Caenorhabditis elegans: one gene and its partners. The protein of the gene in region 3 purifies or fractionates together with the protein of the main gene of each other region. This does not show direct contact. Each region holds a gene or a part of one and is shown on either strand. Other genes may lie near its edges. The genes, in order: ccg-1, T16G12.1 and phy-2.

The links.
Region 1: the proteins of phy-2 (region 3) and ccg-1 fractionate together in Caenorhabditis elegans (co-fractionation; one large-scale study listed by BioGRID). This does not show direct contact.
Region 2: the proteins of phy-2 (region 3) and T16G12.1 fractionate together in Caenorhabditis elegans (co-fractionation; one large-scale study listed by BioGRID). This does not show direct contact.

Annotation. Positions count from the first base shown.
Region 1 is NC_003282.8:15,268,470-15,279,825, forward strand, and holds ccg-1 (Conserved Cysteine/Glycine domain protein), read right to left. Parts: upstream 7,336-11,356; 5' UTR 7,293-7,335; coding exon 7,242-7,292; intron 7,188-7,241; exon of another isoform or gene 7,167-7,187; intron 6,952-7,166; exon of another isoform or gene 6,928-6,951; intron 6,854-6,927; exon of another isoform or gene 6,833-6,853; intron 6,741-6,832; exon of another isoform or gene 6,720-6,740; intron 6,571-6,719; exon of another isoform or gene 6,550-6,570; intron 6,371-6,549; exon of another isoform or gene 6,350-6,370; intron 6,189-6,349; exon of another isoform or gene 6,168-6,188; intron 5,593-6,167; exon of another isoform or gene 5,572-5,592; intron 5,377-5,571; exon of another isoform or gene 5,356-5,376; intron 5,137-5,355; exon of another isoform or gene 5,116-5,136; intron 4,801-5,115; exon of another isoform or gene 4,777-4,800; intron 4,775-4,776; exon of another isoform or gene 4,753-4,774; intron 4,616-4,752; exon of another isoform or gene 4,595-4,615; intron 4,477-4,594; exon of another isoform or gene 4,456-4,476; intron 4,328-4,455; exon of another isoform or gene 4,307-4,327; intron 4,074-4,306; exon of another isoform or gene 4,054-4,073; coding exon 3,431-4,053; intron 3,424-3,430; exon of another isoform or gene 3,396-3,423; intron 3,244-3,395; exon of another isoform or gene 3,223-3,243; and 11 more. Other genes in the region: Y73F8A.5 (uncharacterized protein), read left to right, coding at 216-338.
Region 2 is NC_003281.10:10,044,839-10,053,008, forward strand, and holds the start of T16G12.1 (Putative aminopeptidase-2), read right to left. Parts: upstream 5,020-8,170; 5' UTR 4,906-5,019; coding exon 4,803-4,905; intron 4,500-4,802; coding exon 4,397-4,499; intron 4,021-4,396; coding exon 3,905-4,020; intron 3,850-3,904; coding exon 3,700-3,849; intron 3,651-3,699; coding exon 3,488-3,650; intron 3,057-3,487; coding exon 2,978-3,056; exon of another isoform or gene 2,908-2,977; coding exon 2,828-2,907; intron 2,777-2,827; coding exon 2,449-2,776; intron 2,398-2,448; coding exon 2,215-2,397; intron 1,986-2,214; coding exon 1,737-1,985; intron 1,687-1,736; coding exon 1,313-1,686; intron 933-1,312; coding exon 822-932; intron 776-821; coding exon 595-775; intron 544-594; coding exon 470-543; intron 422-469; coding exon 98-421; intron 49-97; coding exon 1-48. Other genes in the region: T16G12.3 (Nuclear receptor corepressor 2), read left to right, coding at 7,229-7,306, 7,416-7,520, 7,633-7,838, 7,997-8,150. UniProt on the Caenorhabditis elegans protein: Putative aminopeptidase which plays a role in oocyte maturation.
Region 3 is NC_003282.8:12,208,997-12,219,403, forward strand, and holds phy-2 (Prolyl 4-hydroxylase subunit alpha-2), read right to left. Parts: upstream 6,992-10,407; 5' UTR 6,991-6,991; coding exon 6,913-6,990; intron 6,868-6,912; coding exon 6,782-6,867; intron 6,194-6,781; coding exon 5,776-6,193; intron 5,478-5,775; coding exon 5,256-5,477; intron 5,214-5,255; coding exon 4,971-5,213; intron 4,685-4,970; exon of another isoform or gene 4,664-4,684; intron 4,435-4,663; coding exon 4,364-4,434; intron 4,259-4,363; coding exon 4,159-4,258; intron 3,598-4,158; coding exon 3,544-3,597; intron 3,307-3,543; coding exon 3,241-3,306; intron 2,544-3,240; coding exon 2,445-2,543; intron 2,399-2,444; coding exon 2,216-2,398; 3' UTR 2,101-2,215; downstream 1-2,100. Other genes in the region: marb-1 (Isochorismatase domain-containing protein 1), read right to left, coding at 1-11; F35G2.3 (uncharacterized protein), read left to right, coding at 712-798, 1,261-1,545, 1,592-1,741. UniProt on the Caenorhabditis elegans protein: Catalyzes the post-translational formation of 4-hydroxyproline in -Xaa-Pro-Gly- sequences in collagens and other proteins.

The DNA of each region.
Region 1 (11,356 bases), 3.1 Mb from region 3:
TCGACACAAATTGCCTTTTCCTGGCAATTTATATGGAAACTCACAGACAACAACATATTGATTACTTTTAAATGTTTTCAAAATTATAACTTGATTTGATGAAACTGAAATTAAAAAAAAAATTTCTAAACATTTTCTGTCTTGTTTCAAGATTATAGTTTAAAATTCAACTTTTTTCAAAAAATAATGGATTTTAATTAGAATAATTTTTTCAGCTACAGGATCGTGTAATATTCTCAAAAGGGCGTCGATCAGCTCCAAATAACTCGAGAACAACATTAAGAGATCATCGGGAAAATGATAATGCTGCGTTTATTTCATTGGACAGTGAAGACTGAATACCGGTTTATTAATTTTTAAATGTTAATTTCAAAATCATTGTTTCTTTTTTTGTGATTTCTCATATCCCGTCCATCACATTTTGATTTTCATTTCTATGATTATTTTCCCCGTTTTTTTAAAATTTAATTTTTTTTCTGGGTTTTTTTTTGGAATTAATTGTTCATTATTTCATCTCTAGAATTGCCAAAAAATTTTTGATTTTTTTTGCGAAGTTTGTTCAAATAAATATTTCATGATTGTTTAAAAAAATTTTAGTAAAAAAAACTTGTGTTATCTATCAAATTAACACTTTGAAACATTAGAAAAAATAAAAAGGCTAAACATTTTTTGCTTAAAGTTTTAAAAATACTTTCTCCTGTTTTAAGTTATTTTTAAAATTAGTTGTTACACTATAGAGGTGATAATTTCTAAAAAATAATCTAAAAAATATTTCAAGGCTTAACAAATGAAAAAAAACAACCAACAATCCAACAAAAATATTGTTTGAGACAGTTAAGCTATACGCGAGTTAAAATTAAAGTTTGATATAAGTACGGCTCCTTTTTAATTTTAGTACTTTTAAAGTACTCTTTAATTTTTTAATAAAAAAATAAGTGTAATTTGATTACCGGACTAACAAATTTTTTCTATATGGCATAGCAACAAAATAATGCAATTTTCATGCACATTTCAATTTTTTCTGTTCTGTTTTGTCGCAAATCCCGGTAGATGTCGGCCGCAGACAATACCCCTTCATTAGAGAAAAAAAATTAAAAGGAATAGAAATACACAAGTTCTTTTGTCAAAATACAAAAACGTGTGCAACAAAACCATTCTGGTAATAAAACCAGAAATACTGTTTCATAAAAATTATATGCTGACTCGAAATTGAAAATACTACTCACAATATAAATACAATTGTTCAACACATCTGGAATTCTGAGAATTGAGTAATGCTGTTTGCTATAAGTTTTATAAACTATCTGAAACAGATGATTGTTGAAAAAAGTTTATTCAAAAATTGTATCTTATCAAATCGCAAATTTTTTTTGGCCAAATAATATACAATACACGAACTGAAACTAGGATTTCATAGGGCTTCTATGGAAGGCAGGCGTGGTTTCAAGGCCTGACGCCTGCCTGACGCCTGCCTGACACCTGCCTCCTCACTTTAATTTTGGCGTGAATTTACATGAGGCGCGGATTGAGGCGAAAAGCAGGCGACAGTCGCCGCCCTAGCTTTTATATAAATAAATAGCCCTAGCTTTTATATAATAAATATCTGTTCGAGGTATCTGTGTCTCCCAAATCGACTACGGTAGGGTACTGTAAAGACACTGCAAGTGGGTTTGATGCTGAACAATTAATTCATTCAGTGCAAAATTTATTTGGTCCAAATTATTACACAAAAAAACCCAAAAAATAAATGTTTTTAGAATGTATATATATTGGGCAAGAGTATCAACATTAAATGTTTGTTTTTAATTGAAAAGTTCCAAAAAAAAAATTAGTTAGCTGGGCACTCAGGTCCACGTTCTCCTTCCTTGCACTTGCAGTCAACATCCTTCATTCTTCTCTCAGTAATATCACGTCCTTCTGGAGTTTTTCCAATAACACAGAGACATCCTTTTGGTCTTGGGAAACATCCTTCCTTAAGCCCCTTGAACTTGTTCTTTAGCTCATCGACGACTGCGGCGTAGTTGGCTTGGGCGCGCTCTCTGTAATAGTTTTTGATTAATTTTGATAACTTCTAAGACAGATGAAACTGAACACGAGAGAAATTAGAAAATTTAAAAAATTTTACCATTTTTTAAAGTTTACGGGCTTTGCGAACTTTTTGAAAGCATTACCCAGAACTTTTACTTTTTCAAAAAATTTCCACTGTTTTATATTTTTTGTTAAAGAGTCAGAAATAGTGACTGCAATTTTGAACATTTAATTTAAAATATAATTTGGTACAAAACATATTATCTTAGTTTTTCATCGATAATTCAATTTTTTAAAAAAATTAGAAAAAGCGCTAATTTGTTACTAAAATTTGAAACCGTGAGTATTTTTTAAGCATCGAAGTTCGAGTTTTGAATTCAGATTTTTGACATTGTGTAATATTGATTTAGAAAATTTTATAAAAAATATTTAGAATAGAAACTTATGTGAAATAGTGATAATTTTACGATAAACATTTTTTGGGTTTAGATTGTGGGATTTATTCAAATTTTCGGAAATTTTTGACTGTAGTTTCTTAACATTGAGGAAATACTGATTATAAAATGTTTAAAATTTGAAACTGTGAAAAAATTTTAGTGCGAAAATTGTTTTCTCGAATTTCACTGCTTCAAAAATATTCAAATTTTCAAAATAACTGGATTTATGTCTATAGGAATTTTCGATTCAAGTTGAAAACATAGAGGAAATGAAATGCAGTGCACTAGAACATCCGTTTAAAATAGTTGAAAAAAAACAATTTACTGTTTCAAATCTTTTTTAATTATTTTCATTCTAGATTAATTAGTGATAATAACTGCATGTTCAATTCAAAAAATTCCAAACGTTAAAAAAACACCATTAATTTTTTTCCAATTCTTTATTTGACTAGACTGGTTCAACACACCTTGAACTCTGGTTATTTGTGTCGTGTACACATATAAATTGGCCAAATGATTTTGCTCTTTGTGTACAAAAATGTATTTTTGGTAACACCATCTATAAATATAGATTTCTAATTTTAAAAATTGAAAAAAAAACATTATTTTTTCGGAAGTTAACGAGACAATATTTGCTGAAACAATATTTTGACTTCAATTTCTAGCTAAAAAGAGCCAGCTGAAAATTGGAAGAAAATCCAGAAAAAACTAATTCTGAGCTCATTAATTTTTTCTTAATTTCAAGTTTTCAAATTGGATAAAATAACCGACTGTGGCATCGAAAAAATAAATTGTTCAGAAACTCGTACAAATTATCTGAAACAGGGTTTTTATTTCAAATTTTTCAAAATCCTGGAGTTTGTTGAACATGCATTCGAGAAAAAATACTGTTTCCAATAGTTTGTAAATAGTTTTAAGTAATTTCTTGTATCGATGCTGCTGACTTTTTAGTTGCAACAACTAACCTCACTGGATCTCTGACGTCATAATTTGGCTGAGCCTGCTTCACATCTTTCACATTAGCTCTGGCAATATTGGCTGGTTGACGTTGAACTGTTGCTCCGACATCTCTCTTTCCACGAACTTTGCATTGATCTGGGTTATTGTAGGCAGTCACAACTTCATTTCCATTGGCGTCTTTCTCATTGCACTTGCATCCACCGGAAGGCTTTGGGAAGCAGTTTTCCTTGAATGCTCCGAATTTCTCCTTAATCTCCTCGTTGAGCTCTTTCTTGTGCTCAGCTGTCACTGATTCAATGGATTTCTTGCAATCAGCGTCTGCGGAGTACTCGGCCACCTCCTCACCATGTCCAAGATCCACGTTGCACTTGCATCCACCCGATGGTTTTGGGAAACAGTTTTCCTTGAAATCTCCGTATTTTTGTTTGATTTCTTCGTTCAAATCCTTCTTGTTCTCAGCTGTGGCCATTTCCACAGACTTCTTACATTGATCAACACTGTCATATTCACGGATCACAACCTCATCGTTTCCCTCCTTGACGTCACAGGAGCATCCACCGGCTGGAATGATCTTACAGTTGTCACGGAGCACAAGTGTTGGACCGGAGGCATCACGACGAACTATGGCCTTGAAGAATACTAATTAAATTAGTAAGAAGCAAGCAGGTTGATTGATATAGAATTGTTGAAACGGTATCTTTTTTTAAATTTTCTATTTAAAAGTTTTGCAGATATAGCCTTGACAACAACTTTTTTCTTCAAAAATGAGAGATATTTCAAAAAAATTTCCGTGTTCAAAACTAGGAATCTTAGATTTAGAAAAAAAAAACTTTTCGTACTGTGTTATCGAATTATTCGTCTTACGAAAATTTGGATTTTTGGAAAAGACTATGTCTAGATTACTATGAAAATAAGGGATACTCGTATTATATACACTTATTGAAACTGTAAAAAAATTTGAAACCTTTTCACATTGCAACATAAAGTAGGAAGCTGATTTTTTATGTGCTTTGGTTTTTTTCCCCCAAAATTTTCCGATTAATTCCGATTAACGCTGAAAATAATTTGAGTGACATATAAATAAGGAATAAGAAACTGTGGAAAATTGGAACTATTGAAATTTATGTTCGAAAATAAAACTGTATAAAATATTCAAAAATTGGAAAACTGTTCCGACATATCCACGACCATTATAAGTTGAAAATTCAAGCTGCTACTAACAAAGAAAAGGAACAGTCAACACATTTTCCAACAAAAAAAACCGTTTTTGAAATTCGGGAACTGTTTCATATATTACATTTAAGCGGTACAGCTGTGCAGGTTTCAATTGTTCCATTAAAAATTTTCCCAGATATTGCCGTATCGTCAGTTATTATAAAAATAAAGGCAACCCAAATGATATGCACTAATTGAAACTGTAAAAAATTTGAAATAAAAAAATGTAAAGAAATTTTAAAAGTTTAGTTCAGAAATTATTTGCAGACGTCTCTGATACTACTTCTTGTTTAAAAAAATCACTCTACTCATAAAAGTTACCTTAAAATATTTTGTCTCTTGAAATATTAATGAGTTGTTGGGTTTTGTAAAATAAGAGAAAAGTTGATTTGGTCTGAAATTAATTTGAATTTTTGAAAAAATTGTTTGCACTTTCATATAATGCATTTACGTAGTACAGTTTTGAGAGTTATGTTGAGATGGTGATTCTTAATTTTTTCAAAATTAATTAATTTGACAACGCATTAATCGGTCAGTCTAACTAGACGTCTCAAAAAGTTGGAACTGTTTGAAAAACACAATGAATTACCTATTCAAAATTTTCTTTATATAGAGACATTAGAAAAAAAAAAGAAAGCTAAAATTTCTTTCAATGTGCCACAATTTTTCCCGTTTCAAAATGTCTAATAAGTTGTTACAATATAATCGGAGACAATCGTGATGTTTAACTCATGAAAAATTAAGTTAATGTTATTTAAATTGATTTTATTTAACAAAAAACTAAGGTCAGAGAAATCAGTAATAATAAAAGAAATTTAACTCTTATAAAATATCTGAGAAAAATGCGGCACACAATTTGTAAAATCAAACTTTTTTAAAATTCGATCTGTTTCGTGTTATGCATTTTTCTGAATATTTGAAAAAGTGAGGCTTTCAATATCATTTTTAGTCAAATACACTATTAAAACTTTGCTCAACACTTCCCCTTCTCTAATCTTTTGTTCAAACTCCCGTGTTCCTTCCGTATTGATCACTACATCAAATTGAAATGACGACAATCGAGCGGGGAAAAATGAAAGAAATAACAGCAACTGTCTCTTTTTTTCTCTCTTTCTTTTTTTGATAACACAGAGTGATAAATGATATACTGAAAAGAAGTATCTAGGTGAGGGGGAAGAAGATGAGATTTTGTGTCGTTGTCTGTTGATTACACTACGCGCTGAAATTTATGAGCACCAGGAGGCCCAGGGGATACGTGAAAGTTTGGGGGAAAATTGTTGTTTTTTTTGAGCTCGAGCATTTTTGAATTTGTTCCAAAAATTCTGGAGAAATCGAGTGAAATTGAATGAAGTTAGAGGTAGTTTAGTTTTGAGTGAAGCGGAGCGGTCGCATCGCGTATTGACCGCAACTTTCAAACTTTTTGCAATTCGATAATCTAGCTGATAGCTTGTATAGAAATTTTTGAAAAAAAAAATTAGCGAAGGTTTCAAGTTCATTTTTTAATTTACAGTGTTTGGTGACTTTTGCTCGTACGCTTAAACTTGCAAAATCCAAGAAAAAAACCGAAATCGGTACCCAAAAAATGCAAAGCCTAGTTTTTGGAATTTGTGTAAAGTTTTGAATTCTAAATATAACAATTGGTGTTTCAAAAAAAATTTGGTTACAGTTTCAACTATATGATTTATTTTTTTGATGTTTTGCAACTTTAGTGTCATTACATTAGACCGTTTTAGTTCGAGAAAGGTAGTTTAGTTTTGAGTGATACGGAGCAATTGAGTTGCATTTCGAGAGCGGCAACACAGCCGAAACTTTCCAATTTTTGTGTAATTCGATAGTTAATTTTGGAAAAAAAAATCAAAGAATGTTTCAAGTTCATTTTTATTAATTTGCAGTATCTGATGACTTTTGCTTGTTCAAAAATAGTAAAATATTAAAAAAACAGAATCCCAAAAAAGGTACAGCATAGTTTTGTGAATTTGTAAAAAGTTGTGAATTCTAAATTAAACAATTGGTGGTTCAAAAAAAATCAGATTACAGTTTCAACTATATGATTTTTTTTTTGATTTTTTGCAACTTTAGTGTCATTGGATTAGACGCTAATTTTTGTGTAATTCGATAATCAATTTTGGAAAATAAATCGGCGACTGTTTAAAGTTCTTTTTTTTTAATTTGCAGTATCTGATGACTTTTGTTTCTTCGAAAACTATTTACATACGCAAAAATCCAAAAAAAACATTAGGTGCAGTTTCAACAACATGATTTATTTTTAGATGTTTTGCGACTTTAGTGTCATAGCGATACGTTCTTATTTTGAAAAAATTTAGATATATTCTTGCAGTGTCAAACAAAAATTAGTGTAAAATTAGTTGCCTGAAGCGTCATGATTTTTGCCAAAAAATTTCAAAATGTTTGGGCTGCTCTATACTGATACTGATGATATATTGCGTATCGACCGCGACGCAACCGCACCGCGTGCGCCGTGGCCTAACTTGGATCAAAATTCACTAAATAAGCCGAAAAAATATAAAACAAAGTATGAAAATGATATCAATTTAGGATAAAAATCACTTATTTTTTACAAAGAACTCGAAACAGACTAACCTGAGAAAGGGCAATCAAAGCAAGAAGAACAAAAAACGAACTCCTCATCATTTTCGCTTGGCTGTCAAGATTTGTTTTGTTGACAACTAAGAGCGACCAGCCGCCGTCGCTCAGACGTTTTATACACTTTTCTTTCGGGGTTTTCTCTTTGTCTCTCCGCCCTCCATAACTCCTATTATCCCTCTCAAAAAAAGGGCGGAGTTGGAAAGGAAAAGGTTTTTGTTATTTTGATATCCGGAAGAGGTCGAGAAAGTGTTTGGGATTTTTTTTTGTAAACGAATTGAATCATTTTGTTGTGAAATTTGAGATTCTGCCACATGATACAATGTGTCACTGGGTGAGTCATAGGGGAAAGTAATAACATATCAGTTATCAGCCAGAGGTCAAATTTACAGAATAAAAAATACTGACGAAAAAATGAAAGTGTGTTGAAAAACCGCTGAAGGTATTTTGAGAATGCTAAAAAGTAAAAGCGAAGAGAAACCAACCAATGGAAATGTGTTGAAAGTTTTTGTTTAGAAAATTTTGTGAAACGGTAATTTTAATTTAATTTTTTCTTACTTAAAATTTCCTAGAATATAGTTTTGAAATGCCATTTAAATTAATATTTTAAGCATATAAATCCTCGGATTTTCTAAAATTTTCTAATCATATGATCTAATTGTTCAAAATATTTTATAAAGTTTAAATTATTGATTTCAAATGAAAAATACCCAAAAATCCATGTTTCTTTTTTATCCTTTTTTTTCAAAAATAACAGACTTATTTAGACTTATGAAAAAAAACTTATTAAAAAAAAACCATATTAAAAAATAGCTTTATTTCACATTTTATATCAATATTTTGAAACCGCTGAAGGTACTTTGAAAATGCTAAAAAGTGAAAGTGAAGAGAAAACAACTAATGGAAATGTGTTGAAAGTTTTTTTAGACGAAAAGTACCAAAGAAGCCAGATTTTCTTTATTTTCAAAAATTTCTTTTTTTTTGTCCTACGTATATTTAAAAACTACTGGAAACATTTTTATATTGAAGTTTTAATCAAAATTTCAGCTAACAAACTCATTTAGACTTATGACATTTAATATGTTAGTATTAAAAATAACGTTATTTCACATTTTATAACAATATATTGAAACCGCTGAAAGTACTTTGAAAATGCTAAAAAGTAAAAGAAGAGAAACCAACCAATGGAAATTTGTTGAAAGTTTTTATTTTGAACATTTTGTGAAACAGTGATTTTAACTTTATTTTTCTTACTCTACATCATTTAGAATATAGCTTTGAAATCAAATTAAAATTTATATTCAAAAATTAAATTTAACGAAAAACTTGTGACTTTTTTCATTCTACTTACAATTAGACCGTTTTTCCTTTATTAGTCTTTTATTAAAACAGGAAATACGGTAATTAAAAACTGTAAAAAACATGTTTATGCAGAAATTCTCGATTCAATTTTTTATTTATAGAAGCTGACGATTATTAAAATTGCAACTTGAAGTTGTAAATCAAAAGTTTGAAACAGTACTATTTTTTCATTGGAATTGTGGAAAAGTTCAATTTTTGGAATTTTTTGAAAATAGAAAGGATGTTATTAAAAACTGCATGAAACACATAATATTGGAATGGTAATTTTTTAAATTAAAATTGCGACGATGCTCAAGCTTCCCCTTTTTCCACCTCCGAAAAAAGAGTATAATTTTGGAAATCTGTTTAAAGACATTTGAAGAATGAATTATTTTCATTTTCAATCGAAAACGTATTTAAAAAGTATATGAAACAAGTTCCTACTGAAGGCTACAATAAAATTGAAAAATATATGTACTATTAATAATATCAACAAAATTTGAAAAAAAATTAATTAAATTTTAATATCGAGGTTTTGAAACTGTAAAAAGTGTTTTTATTGTGTGAAAAATGATATGAAAACGCCAAAAATAAATAAAAAAACCCCAGAAAAATACAAAAAAATTAATTTTAGTTTCCTCTTTCTACAACATATACATATTCAAAAGCGTGGTTCATTTTTATTTTTCTTTTGTTTTTTTTTCTGATGTTGTTCTGAACTTTTGAATTCTGAATGAATTTTTTCTAATGAAATGTTTTATAAAACTTTTACTCAGAAACGTCAAAACAAAGACTTGATACTTCACATTCTAAAACATTAATTTGAAACGGTATTTTTTTTTCTAAATTTGAGTTGTGGCAAAGTTCAAGTTGCTGAATTATTCGTTCTTTTCCCACGACTAATACCGTACAAATTCGCAATATGTTTCTGTTGAATTGAATTGAATTTGAATTCTGTTGATTTAATTTTTGGTTCAAAACAATTTTCAATACAAACCGTGACTCACCACTGACTAAACTAAACTAAACTAAACTAAAAATGTTTTAAAAACTTCCTGAAACAAGTTTCTATTGAAAAATTTTGCTTAAATTTTTAAAAAGTTCTAAAACACTCATCTAGTATTACCGGTAGTATTGTTAATTAAAAATCGAAATTTAGAAAATTTAAAGGAGAGTGTGAAAGATTTGGACTTGAACTTTTTGTTAATTTTATAAAAAAAATGCTTTCAATTTCCTAATGAAGTTTGGAGAAATCAATGGACCTAATGAACAAGTATTTGACTGCAAATCTTCTGAAAAATAATCCTCAAAACCAAAAGGTAGATTCTTTTGGACATTGATCAAAAGTAAATGAACGACATTCAAAAATTCATATATCACAATGTATTGAAACTGTAAATATTTTGTTTTTTTATACGTTGTAACGTTTCAGTTGATTACAAGGTTGTCCTGTATTAAGTGAGATTGATGAAACAGTGAATAAAATTTTGTATTATCTTAAAATTCAAATTAAGAATCTGAAATACATTTTGAATTATCTGAAATAAACTTTCTAAAAAATTCAAGGAAAAATCTATGTCAATTGCTGCAATTATAATGAAGTTTTAGTTTCAAAAAAAAGTGTCTTTAAAATGGAAATACTAAAGTTTCATTTTTAAAAATGTGAAAACAGTGCAATATTTGGTTTATTTTTTAAATCAATTTTATGAAATATCTCCATAATGTTTCAAGTAGTTTTCAAATAGAAGAAATTCGAACTATTTGCAATAATTTCCCATTTTTTAGATATGTTTAGATTTCATTTTTAGATAACTTTTCTGTTATTATTTACTTTGTTTCTGTAGAAAAAAGTTAAAAAACCTATATATTTAAGTTTTTGAAACAAAGGGGTTAGAAAAAAATATTTGTTTCTGTCTACTTGATCGTCACTATTTCAATTTTTAGAAACAAAAAAAATTTATTTGAATCGGTAAATGAGTTTTAAACATGCCTTGATGGTTTATTGAAACGTTTTAAAAAAATTTTCAATTGCTTTAAAAAGTTTCTGTATTTTTTTCCAGTTTCACAATGTTCATTTATTCTGTGTTCAAAGTTACAGTTACTAACTTAAATAGATATACAGAATTGAGACACATTTATTTTTATACATTGTAAATTTTTAATGCAACATCCCAAACTTTTTCCATACGTTTACGTAACATTCTCTTAAAACAGGCACATTTGGTTCCACTTTTTTATTGCAAAAAATGAAAAGATTTGAGAAAAGTATAAGAAAACAATTTACAAAGATTAAAATTTTCAATAATTAAATTGAAAAAAATTGTTTCACCATGATGGTAAAACATTTTTCCTATATTTGAGCTCTACTGCATTCCGAATAAGCAGATCAAATATCAACTTAAAATATTCAAGTTTTAACAGACTCAACAAACAGTTTTTTGAGTTCAAGCCAGCACCCCATTAATCTCACTTTGATTGCAATCGGATGTACTTTTCAAAATCGCACTCACCACACTCATTTCGAATTCGATAAATTCATTTTCAGAACTTCTTCATTTATACAATTAATAATTAGTTGCTTTAAAAACAACAAATAGAAACAAATTAAAACGGGATAATTCTTAATTTAAAAAAATTAGCACTGAAAATAATTTTCAACAATTAAAAAAAGTCGGTTAAAAAAATAATCGTTTTCAATATTGTGAGAAATTATCATCACATTTTCATAACATTGATGGATTTATTCATTTTTTTCAAATGAAGATTATGTG
Region 2 (8,170 bases), on a different chromosome or scaffold from region 3:
AAAATAGTGGAAGGATTCAGGGTGGATGTTGTGAACAAACGAATCAATCTGAAATAAAACTATCTAATGAAAATATATTGTGCTACTTTAAACTAACACTTTAAGAGTAGCAGGGCTCTGTGTACAACTCATGCCTTCTAACAATGCCATGTATTCTTGATAGAAGTAAGGATTGGTGATGACTTCCTTATTGTACGAGTGAAGCATTTGGAAGAAATAATCTGAAGTTGCTGGAGCATATTTGGCAGCTCCACAGTAAATCGCTTTGCGGAGATTTGTTGAATACGGATTACACCATGCAGTTCCATTCAGACTGTTGATACACGCTGATTTCACATTTGCGAACATATTCAAAGTGCGGTTTTGTACATCACCAATATCATAACGAACAGCAAATGGAAGAAAAACCTCCGAGAATGTACTGAAGTTATTTTGTATATTTACTGTCATTGGATTTCTCAAAACTCACTCTGTATCCCAAATTGATGTATCTTGCCATTTTAGTTGGTTGTATGAATTTTGGAAGAAAAGTTTGTACAATCTCTAAAAAATATATTTGAGACTTCAAATAATTCATCTACAAAAGTTTTTTACCGGCACAAATTCGGCATCGATTCCATCTCTATACAGTTGAGCAATTTGTTCCAGTACTGGTTGAGCTTGGGCAAAAACTCCATAGGATGGATAGTTAGTGAACGATTGGGTGTTGAATATAACTTTTGCCAAGTCCAAAAAACGATTATATCCGAATGGGCGGTTTGCTTTCTTTTCACGTCTGAAAGTTTAAGTTATTCTGCTCGAAACAAGAATGGAAATCTTACAGCATGTAATTATATTCATCGGCAAGAAGAGTCAACTTCAAATTATCGTTGATATCGTCTTGCTTGATTAATTTCAGAATTCGATCAAAACCGATGTCGTCGTAGATGATTCTGAAGTGGTCATTCGTTGATAATTATTTGTTAAAACTGATTTCAGCCAAATTTTTGGCACATTGCCAATTAAAAAAAAACAAATTTTGTTTTTTTAAAATAATTTCGAAAATTGCTGCAAGTTCAAACTCCTATAATCTTAAGCCATTAACACTATGAACAATTCAAATGCAATTAAAATATTAAACTCTTGGAAAAAATGCTGGTAACGTCGAAATATATGTTAGGTAAAAAATGAATAATAGCCACTTTTGACTATGAATGCAGAAGTTTCAATTTTTTAAAGGATGTTTTACTGCAATATTTGGTTATTTCAACACCAAATGAATAGTTTTAAACCTTCCCACAAGACAATGCTCAACTTTTAGAATAAAACTAACCTTCCATAAGTGGCTGAAGTGATCGAAGTGAGCTCCCATTGAACAGCTCTCTTATTGGGCTCTTTGATACGTTCCTCTTGAATATTTTCATTCATATTTGCACATCCTTGTTGTCTTGGAAGCCACTGTTTATAAGGATCCGCATGTCTTAAATTGGCAGATGTTAATGGAATTGACCAAGTGTAATTCCATGGAGTTGCAGTCAAATCGGAAATATCCAAGAACGGTTCTTGGCTGAAAGTTGATCCTCCGATTTTCTGATTGTTATTGTATCGAATAAGTGGATGATTGGTTTGATGTATGTATGGTTGCATGAAATCTGTCACATTCAATGGAAGACCACACCAATCCAATATATTATTTGATTTTGCGGTCTGAAAAAATAGGGCTTACTTAATTACTCCAATTAGTTAAAAACACTTACATCAGTTAAGGTGGAGAACAAGTCAAAATCATTTGCATTTGAGTATTGCATCTTTTGTAAATATGCTCGAATTCCTTGTTTGAAAACATCAGCTCCTAGAACATCTGAAAGCATTCGAAGCATTGAAGCTCCCTTGTTGTATGTGATATCATCGAATGCAGGTCCATCCGGATAAACTAATGGATGAGCATCATATCGGACGTCTGCGGTGAGCCCAACTTGAAGCTCGTCAAGCACTTGAAGAGTGTCCTGAAATCGAATAAACTTTGCATTTGAAGAGGAACAGATTATCAATTTGTAAAAGTTATTTAAAATTTTTCTAATTTTAGATATACGCTTGTGGAGATTTACGATAAGCAGATTTCTCTGTCAGTTTTAAAATTTATTTTGAAAAATTAATGTAAAATCTTGTTGGTGTCAAATATGAGCCAACAGTCTAAAATGAAACTGAATCTAGGATTGAATCCCAAAAACTTACCAAATAAGTTGCTTGCTGTGGGTAGACAGATTTTTGTATAAAAGTCATAAAATAATCAGCGAATCCTTCATTCAAGAACAAATCATCCCACCACGCAGTTGTCACAAGATCTCCAAACCATTGATGAGCCAATTCATGACACATAACTTTAGCAGCTGCTTCCATATTTCTCGTCGTCATTGTCTAAAATCCCATTTTTCCATTTCATTTTCTACATTTTTTCAATAGAAATACCGTTGGATTATACGCAATATATTGGTATTTGTAGATTATCAATCCCCAGTTCTCCATAGCACCTGCCAAGAATTCAGGCATTCCGAGTTGGTCAGCCTTTGAGAGTGGGAATTTAATTCCAGTATACTCTCCTAATTGGTACAAGCATTCTCCAGCATTTTGAGCAGCGAACTGAAGATATTGTTCAGTTCCAGGCCATCCCCATGCTCTTGTCAAAGTGTTATGCTTATTGACATATTGAGAATTCACATAAGGCCCCACTGCAAATGCAATGAGATATGAAGACATTTTTGGTGTTTGTGGGAATGTAATTGTGCTCCATATATTACTGCAAAAAATTTAAATAAAGTCTTTAAAAATAATTGTTTGATAATCATACTCAATTTTTGTAGGTTCTGTTTCCATCATATTTGAAAGAGCAACTTGGGAAGCTGGGTATTGCACAGTGATTGTGAATTTCTGAAAGTGTCACAGAATAATTTTTCATTAATTTTAGTTGTTTTGTCTAAGATTATTCTGTAACACTTACCGCTTTGTAAGATGGTTCGTCAAGAGATGGGAAGACTTTTCTAGCGGAGAACGGTTCCATATGTGTAGCAATCATGTAGCTAAAAAGAGGTTGAGTCGAATCAAGAAATCAGTGTGAAAATATTGACTTCAGCTATCGTTTCTTGAAGTATATCAGCACTGGCTGGGCTCAGTGTTTTTTATAGACACGTAGGTGGCAGGCCCCAAAAATGTTGTTTTATGCCTACCTTGGCAATTCGACAATTATGTTGCCCAAAACATTTAACAAGTGATGAGCGATAAAAAAAGAGCTTCAAAAATTTCGGCAAATCGACTACATAATAATCAATCTGTCAAAGTACGGTACTCTTAATTAGAATTTTATTTTCCAATTTCGAGTTTTTAAAAAGCAGAGGTCGCTCCCTTAACCGATATACTCTTAATCTAACAATAAATTGTATGTTTTCTGGAGAGTTTACTTGCACAAAGTTACAGAATTTCGCCACCACTTTTCTACATTGTTTCCCCTTACTGTGTATTTCCTTGTGGATCATTATATGAAGTGTAGTAAACCCCTCCATCCGTGTATGGATTGATAATACCGGTGTAGACAAATTCGATGTTGTAAATTTGACCAGCGACCACACCATTTGCATTTGTAATCAGTGATAACTGTTGCGTAGTGTCATCTTGTGCTATAAATCTTTTCTTGTATTTTTTATCAATATACGTTCAATTCCTTACAAATTGAGTTGATTGGCACTACAGTTCCATCGATATCAACCACTTTGTAGCTTTGAATTTTAAAGTTATAGGCATTCAGAATGAATCTGTCCGATGCGACCAATGCTTCCACTTGTATCGATGCTCTTCCGTCGAATGTGAAGTTTTTCTCTGTAATACTGATGTTAACTTGCATCATTCGAAAAAGTAATAAAAAGTTTAGTACCTGGTGCATATTGAACTCCAGGGCTTGGGAAGTATGGTTGGAACCATAGACTATAGTCAATGGCATACAGATTTGGTGGGAGACGTGTTTTTGTTACATAAAGGCTTTGGCGTTTTCTGGAAATTCATTTTTCATTATTTTTTGTAATGATTATGTTTTCAGAGCACAATGAGTTCTAGAATAAAAATTTCAGAATAGTTGATAGCTGTCACATGCAAGATACGGCATCTTTACGAAACTTTTCTTATCAATTTTTGCAATAAAATTGAACATTTGAAAACAATGTTTCGAGTGATTTTTGTTCTATAACAACTTTTTTTGCCAAAACCATTTTACGTCGTAGTAAAAAAATTACGATTCCAAACTCAAATGAGGCAAAGAGTAGTGTAATTATATGTTCAATAATTTTTGCACTTTTCACCAAAATTAAAATACTGTAAATTTAAGAACTTGATTTTAAATATTTTGATTTTGAACTAAAAAAGAAATAACCTGGCTGCAAGTTTATCCTGTCTAAAATTATCTGGGTGTTCCGGCAAGATTGATGGATGATTGAATTCGACTTCTTCCAAATTTATAGTTTCAGCATGTCCCTCTGAAATGAGAAATTACTATATTGTTCCTTCTAGTCTATTTTGTAACAAGCTTAGCTTTAACGGCTCAGTGAGCCATAGTGGCAATAAAAAATGCCAAAATTCTCACATTTTCACGTTAGATTACTTTCAATTTTGGAGATCAAGTAGCTTGTTGAGTGGGACATTCTCAGCTTCACATAGAAATTCAAAATTCACAAGGGAAATTCGCACCTAGTTTAACTTTTTGTAAGCACATATAGTATCAATTTTTCAAATTATGGGGGAATGTGCAGTCTAGCGTCATTATTAAAAAGTAGACAAACCTGTGAATTCAGATTCCAAACCAACATTATTCGGTGCAGGAGCAGTGGAGATCAAGCTAAAGAGCCCAATAAAACAAAGTAAGAGAAGCAGTTTCCGCCGCATTTCGTAGTCGGCAGCACACGAAATGAAAAGAGTAGATTATACAATCCTCTCGCGATTTTATCTTTGAAATTTTGAGTTTGCTCTCCCTATTCCGGAGCACGCAGCAGCCACTGTACTTTCCTTATCGGTTTCTGGGATGTGACATCACAACGAGATGACAAACCTAATTATCAATTTTATCACTTTTGACACACTTTTAATACTAATTCCCAAAATGTCAGTTCGGGACAGAGTCCGCTAATTGGGGAATCGGTAGTGATGCTGGAGAATCTCTAGAGCATTTAATGAAGATTACAGTTTTTAAAAACAAATGTTCGCAAATACCGCAAAACCGATTTAAATCCAATTTATGGTTTATGATGTGATTTTTTGGTTCTCCTTCCAGAGTTTCTAGTAATCAAAAGATAGTAATGACTTTTAGTCTCACTGATGACTGGTTCAAGTGCTAAGTCATCAATTTTTTATAATTACTTCATGTTAAAAATTTAGTGAATGATGGAAAAATATCAGTGGGCATTTTTTTAAAAGATATTTTATAGTAGTTCAAAAACCCCATAAATGTTGTCACTTGGGCTCCGCAGAGCCCGTCCGTCCCAACTTTGCGGATATAGGCGCTTGGTCAGGTTCACCCACGAACCCACAATCACCATCCGCATGAGTCGCTCACTCTCTGTTCCATTCGTTCACTCAGAAACATTCCATTCTTTAATTAATTAAATATTATTATTTGAATTACCGCCATTTGCGTATTTCCTAATGCAAGTGCGCCCCCCCCCCCCGCACACTCGCGTTATTGCGGAGCGTCGTACTCCCGTAAATCCACACAAATATTCAGATGCCTTTTTAGGCCAACTCATTCAGTCTTCACACGTTTCACCACGGATGCCACCCGTCCCCACGTCATCCGTTTGTTCCCGTTGATAATTCCATTTATTTATTCAATAATAAACTTGGATTTATCTAAAAGTGTACTGTTATTCCCTCTGCACCGCTCATCGTCATCCGCCGTTCGTTCAAGCTCCGTGTCCTCCGCGCGAACACACATTTCGCCGTTCTCACCCGTTGGGTCTGACTCCCCAGCGACTGCGGGTGTCAACATTGGTGCATCGACCTAACCGGCTCGTGAATCACTAAGTTCCGAGCCGGAAACGGATCCAGAGTCAGGGAGGCACGTGGCGCGGCTTCCAGCGGTCAGAGGTAAGTCGATTTCTTTCAATTATCGCCTTTTCTAGGTTCATTTTCGACTATCCCATTCGAAAATGGATCTTTACAGTCATAAAAAGCTAAATTTTGACTCTATCATGCTCAAAATCTGGTTTTATTTGTCAATTTTCGAAAAAATTTCGACTCTCCCGCTCGAATTTCGAATATTTGTCGTCCTCCAATTCATTTTCGTTTTTTCACACACGAATCTGGATTTTCTACGTGTAATCTTGATTCCAATTCGATTATCACACTCGCAACTGGTATCATTAGCCTTTTATCGCTCTCAATCACGAGTTTTCCGCGTTAAAATAGCTAAAATTGGTCAAAAAATCTTGCGTAATCTTGCGTAAACTCGATTCTGAAGAGAATCTCCCCCCGGAGCATCCTTCTCTGAAGAATCTCGATGAAACTACCCATTTTTCGTCGTTTTCAGCTCAATTCCCTTTGCTTCGTCATAAAATGTGCTAAAAATTCAGTCAAAATCTGAAATCTAGGCTCAATGTCTCTGCTCGGCCCTCCCTTCCGCGTTTAGATAATTTTATGTCGACAGATGATGCAATTTCTAGGATTAGCTGAAGTCAAATTGCGATTTATCGCATTTTTGTCGTCATTTTCGTGTTCAAAGGACTTGTTTTCTCAAGAAAACCGCGTGGCGGGTCCATCCTCGTCGATTTATCTCTTTTCAGCAGAGATTTCCTCCAAAATCTTCGTTTTTGCACAAAATTTCGATAAAAATGATCTGAAAATTCAATTTTCCCTCGATATCTCCGCAAATTTATCTTTTTTCCAACGATTCCATCACAAAATCCACTGAATCACCTCTCAAAACCTTCAACAGTTGGAATTAAGATTCTTCGAGGAGTACGGTACGCAACGGTGTATGCACAGATTCTGTGTACACCGCGACGCGCAACCGCACACTCGCAATTTCGAAATCGAATCCCAAAATCTTTCGTCATGATTTTCGTCGATTTTCGAATATTTTTCGCATTTCTTTTTGCATTTTAATGATTTTTTATTAAATCTAAACATTTTCCGTCGATTTTTTACGTCTCCTCCTCCTGAGACTCGTAATTAATTCGTTTTTTCTTTCAGAAAACTACTTGCTCGACGGAAAATGTCTTCAAGACCCCCATTCGGCATTGTCAAGCCGTCCAAACCAACAGGCAACCCTTCAAGCGGCTCCTCCGACTTGGTAAGAACTTAATTATTTATTTCGTTATTGTCAAAAACGTAAAGAAAAACCTTGGTCGCAGGGGAACCCCTGACCTATTTTTTTCCGAAATAATTAACTTCTTTTACAGGATTCCACCGCTGAGCCTTCACCTCACGAGCGCAGAATGGATTCCCAAAGAGCATCGTCTGGCTCGGACGTCCATGGCCACCCTTCTCTCGGATCACAGAGCCATGTAAGGATTTTATTTTTTCAAATATCGTATCTCAAAAACGTAAAAGAAAACCTTGGTCGCAGGGGAACCTCTCGCCAATTTTTTTCCTGAAAATAATAAAACTCCTTTGCAGAACTTAACTTCTGCTCAGTCCGAAGGCCGCAATGCTCATAAGGATCTTCACGAGCGCCATGTCCATCCTTCACAAGGATATCAACGTCATGGATCCAAGGCTCCAGCTCATGGTCACCCTTCAAGCCAAGGAGCACGAAGGTCCCAACACGAGTTGTCAAACTTCCCGAAACTTCTGGCCAACCTTATGCAGGATACAAAAGCCACGTAAGATTTTAATTCAAAATCCCACAGCGATTTCAAAAATCAAAAAATTCGCTGATCACAGGGAATCCATCTTCAAATTTTCCCATGGAATAATTAATTTCTTCTTCGGGAGGTTTCAGCGTAAAACAAATCCTCTCCAACAGAGCTTTTAATTGCAGGGCATCTGCCAGTTGTGCATCCAATCAGGACACGCTACAACCGACTGCTTCCACTATGTCGGATGGAGAGCCCGAAGAGGACAAGGTGAAGCTCTGTGGAAACCGCCTGGAAGTCGGAGTCACCGACAATCTGGCCGGCACTCAGCGCCGCAAGGTGAGATATAGCCAACATCC
Region 3 (10,407 bases):
CGCGCAGCCATCACCTGAGGAACAGAAATCAATAAAAAGTTGAGTGATTCGAAATTAAATAAATAAAAAACAAATGCAAACATCCACGTAAAACACAAGGATTTGACAAAAAAAGATAAATAAATGGACGGCTTTTCAATTAAAAAAAAATTTCAGAGAACAAAAATTAGTGTAAATTTACGGTAAACAACGCGCGATTCGTAATCTCGGAGTGTCGTTGCTTGAGTTTGTGGCGGTTTTTCAAATTTCAAATTTTTAAAATGTCTACTTTCCTGTTCAAATACTGATTTTCTACGTATTATTTATAATATATTAATTGTAAAATGTTTAAAGGCTCTCCAGGACAATTATAACATTAACAATTTGTGTTCACACCCTAAAAAACATAAATTCACCTGTTGATTCCGTGAATTTTCCCAAAAGGATGAAACACTGCACTGCATAAAATAGTTATATTTAATAACCTATTGATCAATTGATCACATTGCCCTGTATGGATAATTTAGGCAGTAGAAAGTGTGGACTACAGTCACTAATGCCAGGAGGCAATTCCAGCTCTTATTGATTCACGAACGCGGCTGAAACACTTGACCCGTTGACTAAGACGACCGGCTCATTCATTCGTTTGTTACTTATCTTATAAGACAATCTTTTTATTTTATAATGTCGTGGTTAACTAATATCTTTCAAGACGGGAATATGACACTTTCAATGGATAATTTCCCGATTCTATTCGGGTTACTGTACGCGGTTACTGTAGCTCTGTTAATGTTGCAAATAGTTGAGGAAAAGGCAAAGGTAAATTTTGTTGTTTTTTTTTATATTTTTGAATATTTTATTAGCATTATCAATGAAATTCTCGAGAGTCTGAAAATTTCTCAATTTCAAAAGTAAATTCCAATAATCGTGTTCCCCTCAAGCTATTTATTGGAGCCCCTCATAAAAAATTAAGAGGTGTTTAAAGCTGAGAAGATTTATTAAATTTTAAAATAGACAGTAGAACGGATCGAATTTTTTTTGGGAAAATGTGTTTTTTTTGAAAAAAATGCGAAATATTTTATTGGAAAATGTTTGACTTTAAAAAAAAAAACTTTCGAAAATTTGGTGAAAATTAACTAAATTTTCTTTGGAAATTTTCCCAGTTTTACTTTCTAGAGGTTCACTAAATTCCTGAATGCATGCCAAAATGTATAGAGCTAGGTGGTAGGCAGGCATGTAGGCAGGCATCTTGACATTCTTTTTTATATACAACGTTTGCAGGCTCATTACCAACTAAAATTAATGTGCGAGTCTAGTGAGGAAATGATTAAAGAGCACCAGAAGGAGATGAAAATAGAGAGAAGTAAAATCAGCAATCATTTAATCAAAATTCGAATGCATCAAAGAGATTTTGTGGCAAAAATTGGTGGACTTCAGAGAAAACTGAAAGAGCGAAACGAGGTGATAAAGGAATTGAGCCAAAAACTGGAATCATTGGAATTTGCGGAGGAAGATGCAAATGAGTTGGTTGATGATTTGGTACAAGCCAGAAAGATTATTAAAGAGGTTCGGATTTCTTACATGGAATTAAATTTTAAAACTATAATTTCAGAAAAACGAAATGATTGAACTGCTTAAATTCGAGATCGAGTTCAACAAAACAAATTTCCAGAATGACTTAAAGAGTGCGTTGCAAGGAAGTGAAGAAGAAAATAAGGAAAATAATAAAATTAAAAGTCTTTTTAAAGTTAATAATATTTAATTTGTCCATATAATTTTGAAATAATTTTTGATTAACTTAATAAAGTATGGCAAGGAAAAACTGTATGTATCAGGTACAATTACATGTTTGTTAGAGTTGTTGGCAGGCAGGCACGTAGGGAGATATTTATGCTGATTTGAATCGAATCATTTTTAATCCAAGCCACAACCGTGATTTTTTCACAGGATTTTTAAATGTTGGACTATATTTTGAATAGGTAGGAACATAGATAGGCAAGATTATAGTCATGAAGTAGACATGACTATAATCTTGGTTTGATGTAGGTTTGATGTAGGCAGGCATGAAGCAGGCATAAACAGCTTTGAATTTAGATTTCAGAATATCAAAAACTCATTCTTTAAAACCAGAACACTTTCATTTTTTGGCGATCAAATAAAATATTGGAACCGTGAAACACCAGTAAGCAACAATGAAATTAAAAAAAAAAACAAAAAAGAGAGTAAAAAATCAAATCTATGGATCATTGGCATATGGGGACAAATCTCCAATAAAGTTCTCCTGAACTTCCTCCTCCAATCCACATGGTCTTGTGAATTCTTGTCCTTTCTCGTGAATCCATTTATTTGAGACCCATTTAACTCCTAGAAGAACTGGACAAGCAGCATGACGGGTACGAAGATCTCCTTCTCCATCTCTCTGAAATATTTCCAAATTGCGAGGAAAAATAGAAATGAACACTTACTCTAAGATTATACCAGAAGAGAGCATCATTTTTCGATGGGAATACAGCAGTTCCAAGATGATTGAAGACGGTTGCTCCTCCGCGTTCTGGTTGACTCATCTGAAAAAAATTGTTTGGTTCAAGGAGAAACAGAGGGTTCGTTCTAGTTATCTGACAATGTGTTTGATCTACAGTAACTGTCGGGTTTTCGCGTCTGTAAAATGTGACGTCACACACACTTTTCTCGTAATTTAGGTCAGTACCAAAAGGATATAAACATCAGTTTGTAAACTTTTCAAATATTACTATTTTTTCATCTATTTATTTGTAAAAATTATGAACCCAATAAGTTTGAAAATTTCAAAAAAATCAAAATCTTGAGAGTGAATGTTTGACTATATTTTGAACGATTTTTGCTCTTTGAGTTTAAAGTAAATTTTGATATTGTTATTTTCAGTTTCGAATTTATCGAATTTCCAGAAGTAGGCATTAGAAAATACATCAGTTTCAGCTAAACAATCATAAAAAGAAGATAATTATTAGATTAAATAATAAAAATTGTTCGATAGAGCCAAAAAACTATAAAACCTCATTTTTAAATATCAACAGTAAAATTTTAAGACCCCTTAAAAATTTTCCGTTTTCTCACAGCTCCCACGCGCTAAAATCACAAATTTAAAAGTTCAAACGTTAAGATTCCATCACATACTTTTGGATTAGCACACCTCATGCAATAACAGCTAAAGAATTTTCATGCAAATAAAAAGTTCGTGATGGAATCTTATTAACCATTAATTATAAATGAAACATGTCTCACATAGAATAAAACAGTCGCAATTCGGTTTCCAGTATTGAGCGTCTTGAATGCATTCTTCTCTTCTTTCTATAAAATACGGAAAATTAAAATTGAATCGAAAACTCACATAGAATAACACAGTGGCAATACGATTACCATTTCCACCGTACGATTCGGCAGTTTTTCTCTGAAAATTAGCAGCAAGACAAGTCAGCAGGAAGGCAGTAAACCAACCAGTGACATGTCGTAATGTGGTTCATAGTGACCACCGAGACCGTAATTTGCAATCTGAAATTATAAAAAAGAATTGAAAATTGTTATTACCCGGGCAAAGTCGAAATGTGGGTCGTAGTGACCTCCAAGACCGTAGTTAGCTACCTGAAACAGCAACAATTTTGTTGAAAATATTATAAACTTTAATTAATATTTTTAGTAAAACTTGGGGAATCCTCTAATGCCTATATTCTAGGCTGTAGGCATTGAAGGCATTTTAGACCTTTTTGCTGATGTGACTAGCCTAGAAAACTCAAAAATGGACACAAGGAATTTTCAATTTTTTGTAAAAAAACGAAAATATCTAAAAATGGAAATTTTAAACGATTTTTCGATTTTTAGAATTTCAAGAATTCTTCGAGTTTTGTCTTTGAAAATTAAAAGTTTATCAAGAAAGTCTATGAAATAATTTAATCCCCATTTTACATTTTCTCAAAATTACGAGAAACTGGCAACTTTCGAAAAAATAATGTAAATTCATTGCCCGAGAGGATTTCACAAGGAAAATATATAACTATAGTGCGCATTTCCGTTTCAACACAAAGTCGGCAAGCACGTACCTGCCTGCCTGCCTATCTAACGCCTATCATAAAGGCATGAGGCAGGTACGCAGGCATTTATGTGCCTTCTTAAAGGCCTTAGCCATGTTGCAGGGCTCTTGCTTACCTGAAGCTCCTCTGAAGTAGCCTGGTTCAAATTGGTGAAATCTTCAATTCTTCTGTTGACTCTATCAATAACTGGATCCAAATCTCCCTTCAACCAAGCACTGAAACATTTTTGATTCAAGAAATTTGATAATCAACTTGATTTAGTTAATCTTTCAACTCAAAATAAATCAAACAAAACCGTTCCAAAAAACTTAAGCACAAACCTTTTTGAGATACGGTACGTGGCATGTTCCAGCTCGCCAGTTTTCGAATTTTGGACAGTTGCTCGCTTCAGCTAAAAAATAACACACTTCAGGCAACAAAGGAGAAAGAATAGAAGTTGAAAAAGAAATCAGTAAGTCAAATATCTAATTTTCTAAGTTCACAGCATGTTACTGTACAGTTAAACGTTTAATACCTTTCACCTCTTGGCAATTCGATAGTCTACAGTAACCAGGCTACCATCAGAATCCTTTACTGTAGCACGTTCTAGCTTAAAATTATACAATTTCTAGTTTCAGTATTGTACTGAAAGGTATAGTTGCGTGAGTGGGAAGATTGTACTAAAATACCCAAAATAGTCAGAATTTCAGAAATACCACACAAAAATCGATATTTGAACAACATTATTTTTCAAGGGGGTTCTCATTTTGGATGATGTTTGGAATTCGAATGAAAATATTAGTCACATTTGAAATCTAGCAATTTCTCGATTTTTGCCATATTTTGGTGGTATTTTGGAATTTCAGTTTCTTTTTGTATTTTAAAACAAAATCCCCATTCACCGTACTTTATTTCTAACTTAACTATCGAATAATCTAATTTTCGCACCTTTGGAGAAGCCAACTCCTTGATAACCTCGATTTCAGAATCATGAATGACATTCTTGAAAAGAACAGCCAATGGATCGAATCTAAGAATCTCGACCTTGATTGGAGCAAGCTTCAGGAATGGCTTGTCTCTCTTCAGATAACATCTCAGCTTGTTCTTCCATTTTGGCTCAACTGGTGGAATCTCTCCCCGACACAAAGCTTCATATGCATCTCTCTCAACAATTCCATCGTACTCAACTCTCTGCAAACAAAAATTTAAATTATAAAATACTAAGCAAAAAACCTTGTTAACAATTGGTGGCAAATCTCCAACCATATCCTTTCCTTGAAGCATGTCCTCATACCATTTCACATTTCCTTTGGCTCTCGGGTGATTTGGAGCAATTTTTGCGAGTCGTTTGGTGAGAGAAAGTGCACGACGAACATTTCCTTGTTGGTAAAGAGAATATGCAAGATACTCGAGAATTTCCCATTCCTCAATTGTTGGTGGGTTCTCGTTTTCGATCTGGAAAATGTTTGATTAGGATTTGTTGTTGGAATTTTGCTATGGAAAAAGTCCAGCTTAAGGTACGATAGATCATCAATCAAAAAATTGAGTAAGTACAAAGAAACCACCGTTAATATGATAGTTCTCGTAGTGGTGCATAATTACAAATCTCAAGCAGCAAAAAACTTACTTTTTATACGAATAAATGGAGTTGAAAATGCTTTTCGCTTCCTGCGTGCCTGCCTACGCGTTTAAGTGCTCATATTTTTTGGTTTTAGGTTCGGCTTGAAAGCCGTATTTTCTAAACCAGGCTTACCTTAACCAACGCAACCTGCATCCACATCAAGCAATGATAATAATCCTTCTGGTTATATGCAGATCTTCCAACTTCAAAAGTATCATGTCCAGAAAGCTTATTAGAAACCTTTTCTCCTCCAATAATACCATTTGACAAATCAAGAGTATCAAGACTGTAAGTATCCTGGAGTCTCAGAAGAGCAGTTGCTGCTCCACTCAAATCCTCTTCTCCTGGGAATTTGACCTCACTACGAACTCGGTTATCAGTGATGTTCTTGAGGAAAGTTGAAGCTTTGTTATTCAACATTATATTTTCGACTTTCTTCCATTCGGTTGTTAATCTTTTGATGAGAAGATAAGCATTGATTGGGTTCGTCACAAATTCTGGACCAACTGATTCGGCGTGAGCGTTTCGGTGCACGTATTCGTGAGCGTATCTGTAAAATGATTTGTTTATTTGAGTCACCTTGATGTCCGAAAATGTTTAGTTTTTGTTAAAGTGAGACTTTCATGATATCACGTATTTCTTGGTATTGGCGAACATTTTTATTCTTGGTGTGTGTACAATTTAGAAATTTAAGAATTTTTTGTGGCGTTTTGGTGGCCCTTGCGGACTGTCTAATCAAAAATAACTTGTTAAAAGTTCAATAGATTTTGTGTACTTTGTCAATCGGTAATCGTGTAGGCAATAGACAGGCGTAAGATGTGCCCACGTGGAAGACTTTTTATCAAAAATTTAAAAAAAAACCTATATTTCGAACCTACCAGAGGGGACATTTGATAAATATGGAGTTCAATCAATTTTGAATCAAAAACTCAACAATCAGCAAAAAACTAATTTTTACTGTAGCAAATGTTTTCATCTGTTGAAGAAACATAACTTTATTTTCTCCCAACACATGAAAATCAGAAAATTTTAATTCTAGATTCTGAGAATTGGAAATTTTGTTATAATCTACAATTCGGTTACTAAACGGCATTCTATCCCTGGAACCTACTCAATTTTGCAGTTCTACAGTACTCACCTCCTCAAGTCATCCAGCCTGGCTCTCTCTGCTTCGATATATTGGTCGATGATTGTTGTTACATCCTTCTCTGCTCCCAGCATATGCTGAAATCTCTAACTTAATTACATAATCATAGATTAACTACTCACCTGCAAATCAGCAATTGCAGTGAACAAATCTGCATGAGCAAGTCCTGCCAAAAGGCAGACTAGCAAAACTGCTCTCATTCTGAAAGACAAATCGATTTGTTTCCGAAATTTGAAAAGCTGTAGAACGTGAGAAATAGGGGGTCAAAATCAGTGCACAACTGACATGTTCGAGGTCAAAATCGGTGGCGAGAGAGTGAGAGACTACGAGAAAAAGATGAACACAGCAGATGAGAAGTGTAGAGAGCAGCCGTCTGCACCAGCACTTTTTGTATATTTTTACAATTTGAGGGGGGATGATGATGAAGAGGGAGGTGTACGTGGAACGGATGTTGAAGTTTATAAACAAAAGTTGCATTGTGTGACACATTTATATGAATATATTTATGAAAAAGAAGAATAGACAAAGAATAATAGAGTTTAGCATTCACCTGTCAACCTTGTCTGGAGGCAGGATAGAGTTAGGCCAGACACCGCCTGTCTATATGGGAAAAGTTCATTCCCATTTTGCCAGTAGGCACGTCCGTCGCCTTGTAGGCAGGTAGACAAGTATGTACCTACATAAAGGCCTACGTGATTTATTGTGTGATCCTTTTTTCCTTATCTCTGGAGCTTCAAAAAATGGTTTTTTTTTTCAGAATAATTTAATTCCAAGAGTTCTAAAATATGAAGGAATAAATCTAGATGAAACCGCAAAAAACTATCTCTTCCAGTTTTGATTAGTGCCTCAAAGACCAAATAAATATAAAAGGATATCTGAGGTCACCTTAGATCTCAATCTTTTATAGATTACCACTACAGAGATATAGATGAACTCAGTATTTTTTTGTGGAAAATGTATGTGTTCAAAATGCGTTTCAAGCTTTTTATACAAAACTTTAAAAAAATTATTCAATTTTTAGGTTCATAGTGTTCCAAAACTGTATGGTCATCTGATTTTTGGAAACATTTCACTTGGTTATGCCTTATTAAAATTCTGTAAATATGGTTAATAGAGAATAGAAAATGGTAAAAATATACTAGATAAAATGCGAATAAATAATATTATTTTCAACAGCAAGACAGATTGATAACCCTTGTTTACAGCATGATGATTTCAGATAAAATGAGGTTTCTTAGAATTTTTAGAACTATAAATTTCAAAACCTGGACTAAAAAAGTTAAATGATACACTGACATTCGATTTTTAATTTTTACATTTTCAAGTTTGATTTTAACTAAAAATACAGAATGTACACATTCCTAAAGAATATAAAACCTTCAAACTTTGGAATATATGTCAAGATTAATAGCGGATTCGCTAAAAAAAACAGAGAAAAGCAATCAGACCGTCTAAGGTGATGTGGAAGTCTTTTCGCCGCGTCGCGCGATTCTCGAAGAAGAAGAAACTTCCTGATTGCCTGCGTTTCCGATCTCTCAATTAGATTTTGCACGTAGGAACGGACGGTGTCTTCTCGATCCAGTGGATGATTGACCTCCATTAACAATACCAATAACTAGGTTGAATCGCGCAAGATTTATGGATGACGTGGAAATGAAAAGAATGAAAATGGGAAGGTGAGGATAATTGGAGATTGATGAGGAAATTGGGTATTAATTAGTTTTCAATTTAATTAAATTAATTAGGGGGAATTCAAAGTTTTGAGTTTTCTTAACCAATACATGTATTGCAAAGTCAGATAAAAAGCTAAAAGTAGAAAAATTATGATGAAATTCTTTAATAATCATAGAATTTGAAAAAAAAAAGAATCAGATAAAACTTGATTTTCAGCGTTTTCAGCTATAGACTATAGTCTAAAGCTTTGATATATTTTCATAGATCTTTGCTATTTATTAAATTTATTAAATTGATTAAAACAAAAGTTAATCTTGATTTAGACGGAGTTTGTTGCTCCACTTCCAAAACGATAATTCAGGTCTTGAAAAAATTAAATAAATGTTAAATGAATTTCGGTAAATTTCCTGACAATTTCAGTGTGCTAGCAAAAGCATAAATTTACTTGTAATGGTCCAACATCACCGAAAATCACAATAAAACAATTAAAAACTTTTCTGAATCACCTCTACGATTTTTGAAAGGTTTCAGTCAAAGTTTTGGTTTGGTACACTTCCTAACCTAATATTAAATGAGTCAATTGAAAACTTCCAAATTTCTAAAATAAAAATTTCGACACATTTGGAAATATTGAAGAAATGTTGCATTTTCAAATCACTGTGACATTTGAATGCAATAAAAGCTGTGTAAGAATAGTTAGAAATTTGTTGAATAAACATTTTTGGATATCTTCTGAAAATATATATAGGAATAACTGGCGATTTGCCACTTTTTGACTTAAAAAAAGGCAACTTTTCGGACTGAAAAACCAAAAACGGAAGCTGAAAAGGCGCGAAGCCGCTGAAGTGTGTAGATCTTTATATAAGATGGGGGCGCAGACGTGAGAAGAAGCCGAGACGGTTTACACCCTGTCGCACAGTCTCTCTCTTCCTCCTTTATTTCCAACTTCTACGTGTCAGATGCGCAGTCGACGTGCATATTCCGATGCCTACGTGACTGTGATGCTGCAGTTTGGTAGTAATGTTTGTGAATAAGAAAGAGGATGAGGAGACGCCACCACTCGATCAGCGGGTGCCAGATGGTGAAAGAGAAAGACCAGAAGCACTAGGCAACTGGGAGGAGGAGAAGCGGATTGAAAAACTTTCTGAGGATGTGATGGATGAAAGGATATTTGGAAAAGGAGACAGAGACCGGTATTACCGGAAGAAAACTATTAATTGTTTTACAACTGATACGGTTTCTGAAATTAAAAATATTGGAAATTCATTTTTCCATCGTTGAAAACAGGGCGAACAAAATAAATAGGAAGAAGTCTAACATTTAATAGTCTTCAAAATGATTTAGATCTAGACTTAGGCAAACCTACGTAGTTGGTACTGCCTGCCAATGAGGCAGCCTATACCTACGCGCCTAGCCCAATCTTAACCTTTCAGGTAGGCAGCTAAAGTACCAACCATTTTCCAAAACAGGAGAGATTTGAATTACTTTTTCAATTTCCTTCATCAGCATATTGATATGATAGAATTGGCAAAAGAAATCTAAAAAAAACGGAACTGGTCAGCTAAACAGGTTTTCTTTCTCGCTTGATGGGCAGAAAGGCATCCAAATCTAATGAATTTTGTTTCGTTGTGAAACATGAGAAATTGAGGAGAGGACAGAAAAAGGGAAGTGCCAAGAGGAAGTAGATGTAGGTAAAATAAAGATGAAAACTATAGACAGAAAGTAATAAAAAAGGAAGGCAGCACAACCGAATAAGTGTGAAGTTTTCAGGTACATCGTAACGCCTTTGTGCTTGCCAGAAGATTTAGGCAAGCTTGTAGGCGCGAGGCAGGCAAAGGTCTTGAGAAAAACTAATATTTTTGTGCCTTCCTCTGATTGTGAGCAAAAATTAAATGATTTCACAGTCCCGAAAATAAGTGCTGTCGAAAAATTATTTATTTATT